Saccharomyces cerevisiae S288C: one gene and its partner. Changing the gene in region 1 together with any one later gene gives a genetic interaction. Each region holds a gene or a part of one and is shown on either strand. Other genes may lie near its edges. The genes, in order: HMS1 and ATR1.

Region 1 (4,006 bases):
GTCAGATCGCATAACAACCGGTCATATATTTTTTTCTTTTGCTAAACCCCCTACTGCAAGCACTTTTAAGAAAAAGAACAATAAATGCGTCTTTATTGCTGTGTGGAAGTGATTTTTGTCTTTCGGACAAAAAAAGGATAGGGATGCGAGAGGGCTGTGAAGTAGTGATCAAGCGGGGCCTATATAAGAAGGGCGCACATCGTCCCCCCTAAGAATAGCGAAGCGATATTACACTGAACACTACAATGTCAAATAGTACTCAATAAATATGACTGTAAAAATATGTGACTGTTAAGGCGAATGTTGTAAGGACTCTTGTCATTGTGGGAGCACCTGCCTTCCAAGCTGTTCTGGCGGTGAAAAGTGCAAATGTGATCACAGCACCGGAAGCCCTCAATGTAAGAGTTGTGGTGAAAAATGCAAATGCGAAACCACGTGCACTTGTGAAAAGAGTAAATGCAATTGTGAAAAATGTTAGGTGACCCCTACTCTTTACTTATCATAAATACATCATCATATTTTACCCTTAATTAACAACATTTATTTAACTGCATGAACTAAATATAAGGTATAGTTTCTTTTTCCCGGAATCTTTTTTTTAGATCGTTATTATTTAGACGGCACTAAGAGAAATAAATTAAACTAAATTACGGTGCGGAGCTCAAGGCATCTGCGAGTGTTTACTAACACTAAAAGAGATGAATAAAATAGATTTCTCAATGCAAAATTAAAATTACAATGTTACGCATACACACAAGTACAGATTTGTATATAGTATTTCTTCTTCGTTTTATCTGTCGTGTTGAAACATTTTGTTGTTCAAGTATTAAAAGTCTCCTGCGTTGTTAAAATCCATATCATGTGAATTGTTGGTGCCGCTCATGAGGCCGTTTTGATGTGGAATATTATATTGAATGTTATGCAATGGTTGTTGTTGTCGTGGCTGCCGCTGCCGTTGGCGTTGGCAGCTTCTGGTTTGCTTTTGTACTTGTTCACTACTACTGTTGTCACTCAACGGTTGAGATGGCTCGGTAAGATGGACGAAAGAATCCCGTGTGTCATTTGATAAATGTTGATTAGCCAAGCTTAGCTGTAGGCACTTTCTTTCTAAATGACAAATATATTCAATAGATTTCGTTAAAATGGACGCCTTATTCAATTTTGTTGCTGGCTCTAGGCCATCTAAGTCTGCTAGGTCTCTAGATGTAATGGGAAGATCGTTACATTTTTTATACGCTACTCGTAGCGTTGGGACAGTTCTCCTTAATTGTTCAATTTTATCATTAATATTGGAACGGTATTTCTTTTCAATTATATTGTGTGATACCCTTCCTGTCCTCACCCTTGTTATTCTTTTGGGTTTAACATGAAAATGTTTCCGTATAGGTGAAGTTTTTAACTTGAAGCTCATACTGTCAGCATTGTCAATATTCTCCAAATTCAAAGATGATTTAATCTCGTCTGCAGTAACTAAGGGAGACTCTGTCTTCGATAAAGGCAAAAAATTTTCAAAGCCAGACAATTGTTCCTTTTTCACGATTGAAGCTGCTGAAAGAAGACTCGAGTCCTTTTCAGATTTAAGATCGGTTTGCTTTACATTATCAATGTTTTCATTTTCCTCGCTACTAAAGACTTCCATGTTATCAATGTATTCTTCGCTGTCAATAGTATTGCCATTGTCTGTAGTCATTGTAGTACTACCCGTCGTTGTTGTAGGTATAGAAGCCAGAGCATCATTATAGTAATTACTATCAATTACTGGAGTGTGGCCTGAAGTATTAGGAAACGAGGAGTCACTATACTGGTCTGTGGCAGAATATGTGTTGTTCTTATATACAGGAGGCACGGGAGGTTGAAGATGGATGGGATGCTGAAATGGAGCGTAATAAGCATGCGTCGGAGGTCCTTGAGAACCCAAATCCTCGGTATTGTAATTTGGTGGCGGCACGTTGTAATTGTTACTTTGAAACATTAAATACATTTGGTTCGTGGTTACATTTACATTCTGCTCTTCGCTGCCATCTTGAGCACTTCTACAATCAAAAACCTTGATGGCGACTTTATTACCTAGGTCGTTCATTACAGAATTGCCATCCGAAGAACCAGAAAAAGGTTTTTGAAAATTTGGCATTTCCAATTTATACTCTTATCGTTGCTAAAATGAGTCGTGTACTGCAACTGCTCTATATTCTATATTCTAAGCGAATGGGTGGGTGGGTGTGACTAACTATTAAACTACCTAAGCGATCTCGAGAGCCAAGGCGAGTAGTAGAAATAAAACTAGAAGCGCGCTTTACAGGTTTGACCTTAAGTATGATGCGATAAGACACTTACATAGGACGATTTTTGAGGCTTACAATGTGTAACCAAGGTATATAAAAGGTGCTGCTGCTCTTGGGAAAAATACAAAGAAAACGCCTACGGTAAAAATACAATACCAGCTATTTTTTTCTTTTGAGAAGCCCACTCAAAGTAAAAATTAAACAATGATGGAAAAGAACGGAAAAAAGTTCAAACAGAAAATTAAAATACAGCAGAGAAGACTAGGCACAACAAAGTGGGATTGTGTCTACGCTTTTAACGGTGTACCCTTTTTCCTCGCCACGTTTTCACTCAGATCTAAATCTCTGCTGTAATTTACAGCGGCATAAGAAGGCACGTCCCCTGAAAGTAGGCTAGCCAGAAAACAAAAAGGCCAGAATCGGCGCGGAACTTCTCGTATCGAGAGCAAATGAGGGGTGCGGCACACAGTAGGAAAGGGTAACTGATTAACATACGTACACCCCGGCATAAAAGCTTCTGCAGGCTTTGTAGGCAAGAGACACTGCGGAGAATAAAAGGTTGTGACGCCCAATACCTTCGCCGGACTCCTTCTTGGCGTTCACAAAAGACGATGCTGCAGCATTTTTTTCTTGCGTCGAACTCGCGCCCACAGCAACGAGACGGTTCCGTTCCTTCCCGTAATGTTGCTTTGATTAACAAAATTCTCGTTTCCTCAGTTCTGTGAGCCCGTTTGTCAGCAGAGGAATCCCAATGAAGAAAATTTTTTCTGGAAAGTAAAAGCGAGCGAAAAGTTTAAGGTTCAGATTGCATCACTATTCGTTCAGTTGATAGCGAATGTAGACCGCTAGCGGCTTGATTAGATAAATAGAGTGGGTTAAAAAAAAGGAAAAAAAAAATGTGAATTGCACATGCCCAGCGCGCTCGCAAAACATATAAAGTTGTCCTCACATGCGGCGTGCATTGTTCATAGCGGGGCAAACATACTTGTGGCTTAATTTGACACATCTACTTTTAATCTTTTCTTGGTCTAGTACAATGGCTTTTTCCCAAAGTAGAAGGCTTCTTACTCCAACCGTACCCTGTCCTACTTTACTGGGCATTGATTTTTTAATTCTTGTCTTGAGGCATTTCGACGAGATTTTCATTTGAAAAATATACCTCCGATATGAAACGTGCAGTACTTAACTTTTATTTACCTTTATAAACAAATTGGGAAAGCAAGGAGATAGATCTGACTGCCGGCCGAGCTTGGCTTGACTTAGTAGTTTCGATGTCCCTTTTCTTACTTTCCTCATGCAAAATTGGTGATGAATTGAATGATTTTCGTTCATCTACGCTTTTCATGTCAATCACAATTCTCTGTGACCTGGCACCAATAAGGCTTTTTCGCAGTGATGGCCTTTGCGTGATTTGATTTTTACCATCGTTATCGTCGCAATCATCATCTCTATTTTGATTGACGTATACCATTCCTCTACTTTTTTGATTAACGTGCCGAGGAAATAGTGGTTGTCTATTTGCATTAACTCCGCTGAATGAAGATGAATATCTAAACTTTTGTAAAACTTTTGTGCACCCCGATATACTCCTCTGGGATGACCCGGGAAATGAGGTGGTGCTGCTCGTGGGAACTCTTGATTCCGCAGTTTCGCTATAATCCTCGCTAGTATCGCCATCACCGTCATCATCTGTATTATAGATTTCGTTACCGATAGTCTTTCCT
Region 2 (4,402 bases), on another chromosome or scaffold:
GCAATTTTCTCAAGATATCCCATCACCTTTGCCATTAAATGAACATATGTTTATGAATGATTCTAATCAGTCCAATGGAGCGATAATACCTCAACAGTTAATAGCCACACCTTCTCCGGTATCCCCCAATTTGCAAATGAATCAAAGGGTGTTGCCGAATCCAATAACTCAAAGTTTGGAGCAAAATTTCAACGTTTCGGCCAAAGTGGCATCATCCATGGGTTCAGACATAGGCAATAGAACAATTTATATAGGAAACATTAATCCAAGATCAAAGGCGGAGGATATCTGTAATGTCGTGCGTGGAGGAATCCTTCAGAGCATTAAGTACATACCGGAGAAGAAGATATGCTTTGTTACTTTCATCGAAGCTCCATCCGCTGTACAGTTCTATGCAAATTCATTTATTGATCCAATAGTGTTACATGGGAATATGTTGAGAGTTGGATGGGGGCATTATTCTGGTCCATTACCGAAATTAATCTCGTTGGCTGTTACGATCGGGGCAAGTAGGAATGTCTACGTAAGCCTACCAGAGTTTGCATTTAAGGAAAAGTTTATTCACGACCCTCAGTACAAAAAATTGCATGAAACACTATCTTTACCAGATGCGGAACAACTAAGAGAGGACTTTAGTACCTATGGTGATATTGAGCAGATTAACTATTTGAGTGATAGCCATTGCTGTTGGATAAATTTCATGAATATATCTTCTGCGATTAGTCTTGTTGAAGAAATGAATAAGGAATCCACAGTACAAAATGAATCCGGTGAAGTGACGCTTAAAAGGGCGACTGAGGAAAAATTCGGTGGCCGTTATAAGGGCCTTCTGATAAACTACGGCAAAGATCGTTGTGGCAATATAAACAAAAATTTGATAGCAGGTAAAAATTCAAGATTCTATAAGAAAGTTAAAAGACCGAGCTATAATATACGTTTGAGTAAGTTGGAAGAAAAGAGGAGGCAGAATGAAATCGATGAAAAGGAAAAGGCTTTTGATAAACCCTTGAACTTGGAATCCCTAGGAATTAGTCTGGACGCACATAAGGACAACGGCGGTGGTGAAACAGGAACTGCAAATAATACTGGGCATGAAAATGAAAGTGAACTAGAGGCTGAAAATGAAAACGGTAATGAGACTGGAAGTTTCGGTGGACTGGGTCTCGCTGTGGCGAGCTCTGACGTCAAACGTGCGACATCGGATGAAACTGATTATGAAGATATATTTAACAAGTCATCGGGATCTTCCGACTCGTCATCAGACGTCGAGGTCATTATGCACTCCCCGAGCGATCCTGAATACGCTTTAAAATCACAAACTCTAAGAAGCTCGAGTCAGACCGTCATTAATAGTAAGAGACCAGTAAAGATAGAAGACGAGGAAGAAGCCGTAGGAATGTCACAGCTCAATTATAGGTCGTCATTAAGACAAGCTCCTCCAAGAGCTCCCTCAACTTTGTCATATAATCACTCGAAGAACAACGAAACGCCAATGCAAGATATTTTCACAAATGGCGAAACAGCAAATAACAGAAAGAAGAAGAGAGGATCTTTTGCAAGGCATAGAACGATACCAGGATCTGACGTCATGGCCCAATACCTTGCACAAGTGCAACATTCGACATTTATGTATGCAGCCAATATTTTGGGCGCCTCTGCGGAAGACAACACGCATCCTGACGAGTAGTATAGCTGTGCTGAGCCTGAAGTATAATGCATATCCATCGGACTATTTAGACAAAGCCCAAGGAAGCCTAAGGCGGCCTGCCAAGGTGTTTCTCCCTTTTTTTCTCCGATTTCTTTGTATAAACTAAATAATATAGTGATTACTAATGGAATGGCGGTATTATGCACCTAACCTGTTCATTCTGCCACAGATTACGTAAGCGATTTATTGCCGGCACTTGTTGTCTTAATGACCGAGTCACCAATGTGGAACGATAATTTTCTCTGACTCAAACCTGTTAATTTTTTTCTACTTCGTTTCGTTAGCGACGACGTCAAGCCGCAGGATCCTGTCTGCCTTGACCTCTTCTCTACCTTCAGAACTTACACTTTTCAGGTAAGATGACCTTTATATAAAAGTTGACACTATTACAGTTGTTTATAAACGTCTGAAGAATGAGACGTTTTTATAAAATGAATAAAATGCATATTCTAAGTTTAAAACAACATTTTCAAAGTGTACGATTGTAAAAAGAGAGGCAATTAGAGAATCTCAAACAGGTAATAATAATGGGCAATCAGTCATTAGTTGTGCTTACGGAAAGTAAGGGTGAGTATGAGAATGAGACAGAACTACCTGTTAAAAAATCGTCACGAGATAATAATATCGGAGAATCTTTAACAGCAACAGCTTTTACGCAGTCTGAAGATGAAATGGTAGATAGCAATCAGAAATGGCAGAACCCAAACTATTTTAAATATGCATGGCAAGAATATCTTTTTATATTCACATGCATGATAAGTCAGCTTCTAAATCAAGCAGGCACTACACAGACTCTTTCGATCATGAATATTCTTTCGGACAGTTTTGGCTCAGAAGGAAACTCAAAGTCATGGCTGATGGCATCTTTTCCGCTAGTTTCAGGCTCATTTATTTTGATTAGTGGCAGACTAGGTGACATATACGGATTAAAAAAAATGTTGTTAGTAGGATATGTTCTGGTTATTATATGGTCTTTGATTTGTGGGATTACCAAGTATTCTGGTAGCGATACTTTTTTTATTATTAGTAGAGCCTTCCAAGGGCTAGGGATTGCATTTGTTTTACCTAATGTGCTGGGAATAATTGGTAATATATATGTAGGTGGTACTTTTCGTAAAAACATCGTGATTAGTTTTGTTGGTGCGATGGCCCCTATTGGAGCAACTTTAGGTTGTCTTTTTGCAGGACTGATCGGTACCGAGGACCCAAAACAATGGCCATGGGCATTCTACGCGTATAGCATAGCCGCTTTCATTAATTTTGTGCTCTCCATATATGCCATTCCGAGTACTATACCAACAAATATTCATCATTTTTCTATGGATTGGATTGGTTCTGTTTTGGGCGTGATAGGTCTCATTTTATTAAATTTTGTGTGGAACCAAGCTCCTATATCGGGTTGGAACCAGGCTTACATCATCGTAATTTTAATCATTTCTGTGATTTTTCTTGTCGTTTTCATCATTTATGAGATTCGATTTGCCAAGACTCCACTATTGCCGCGCGCAGTTATAAAGGATCGTCATATGATTCAAATTATGCTGGCTTTATTCTTTGGATGGGGCTCTTTTGGCATCTTTACGTTTTATTATTTCCAATTTCAATTAAATATAAGGCAGTACACGGCATTATGGGCTGGTGGAACTTACTTTATGTTTTTAATTTGGGGTATTATTGCCGCCTTACTGGTAGGATTTACTATCAAGAATGTGTCTCCATCAGTGTTTTTGTTCTTTTCTATGGTAGCATTCAATGTGGGCTCAATAATGGCAAGTGTTACACCGGTTCACGAGACATACTTTCGTACTCAGTTAGGAACGATGATAATTTTAAGTTTTGGGATGGATCTTTCATTTCCTGCTTCTTCCATTATCTTTAGTGATAATTTACCGATGGAGTACCAAGGCATGGCTGGGTCATTGGTGAATACTGTTGTCAATTACTCCATGTCCTTGTGTCTCGGTATGGGTGCCACAGTAGAGACACAGGTCAATTCAGACGGAAAGCATCTTTTGAAAGGCTATAGAGGTGCTCAGTACCTTGGGATAGGATTGGCAAGTTTAGCATGCATGATTAGCGGGCTTTACATGGTCGAAAGCTTCATAAAAGGCCGCAGGGCAAGAGCTGCTGCAGAATACGATTGCACTGTGGCTTAGCGGAAAGCGGTTATTAAGGTAAATAGATAGAAATACACCGCTGTCATGCGATTATATAGACATGGGGCATTTAGACACTGAAAGTCTTCATATCTCAACATGCAACTAGTAATAGTACAATTTTTAGTACCCTTTAATCTTTATTGTTCGCTCCCTAATAACGAAGCCTTGAACTGTAACCAGATCCCAGGTTACCCCTTATCCTTAAGAGGTCTTTTATTTACTCTACATAATATATATTTTTCAATCCATTGAAGAGGATTAAAAGAAGAAAAATCAATACCGAACAAAAAAACAAAACGAAATAAAACAAAACAAAAAATTAAATTAAATTAAATTAATATTAAATGTCATCATGATTCTTACTCTGATTGTCTTCTCTTCTCTCTTTCCCTTGACGCAATTTCCTTCAAATCGTCATCGCTCGGTTCATAAATATGCCAAATAGTATAATGCGGTAAACCACCAACCCTGTACCCCATTTTCTTTGCCATTTTACCAAATGCTTCTGTTTCTGCATGATTTTCAAAAGTAAATG

Evidence for each region.
Region 2: of HMS1 (region 1) and ATR1, changing one suppresses a phenotype caused by changing the other (phenotypic suppression), as found in Saccharomyces cerevisiae (one study listed by BioGRID).

Annotation. Positions count from the first base shown.
Region 1 is NC_001147.6:388,945-392,950, forward strand, and holds HMS1 (Hms1p), read right to left. Parts: upstream 2,132-4,006; coding exon 827-2,131; downstream 1-826. Other genes in the region: YOR032W-A (uncharacterized protein), read left to right, coding at 3,232-3,432; Rad2 family nuclease EXO1, read right to left, coding at 3,472-4,006. UniProt on the Saccharomyces cerevisiae protein: Involved in exit from mitosis and pseudohyphal differentiation.
Region 2 is NC_001145.3:35,961-40,362, forward strand, and holds ATR1 (borate transporter), read left to right. Parts: upstream 1-2,235; coding exon 2,236-3,864; downstream 3,865-4,402. Other genes in the region: NAB6 (Nab6p), read left to right, coding at 1-1,687; VAN1 (Van1p), read right to left, coding at 4,227-4,402. UniProt on the Saccharomyces cerevisiae protein: Putative component of the machinery responsible for pumping aminotriazole (and possibly other toxic compounds) out of the cell. Probable ATP-dependent export permease. Appears to confer resistance only to aminotriazole.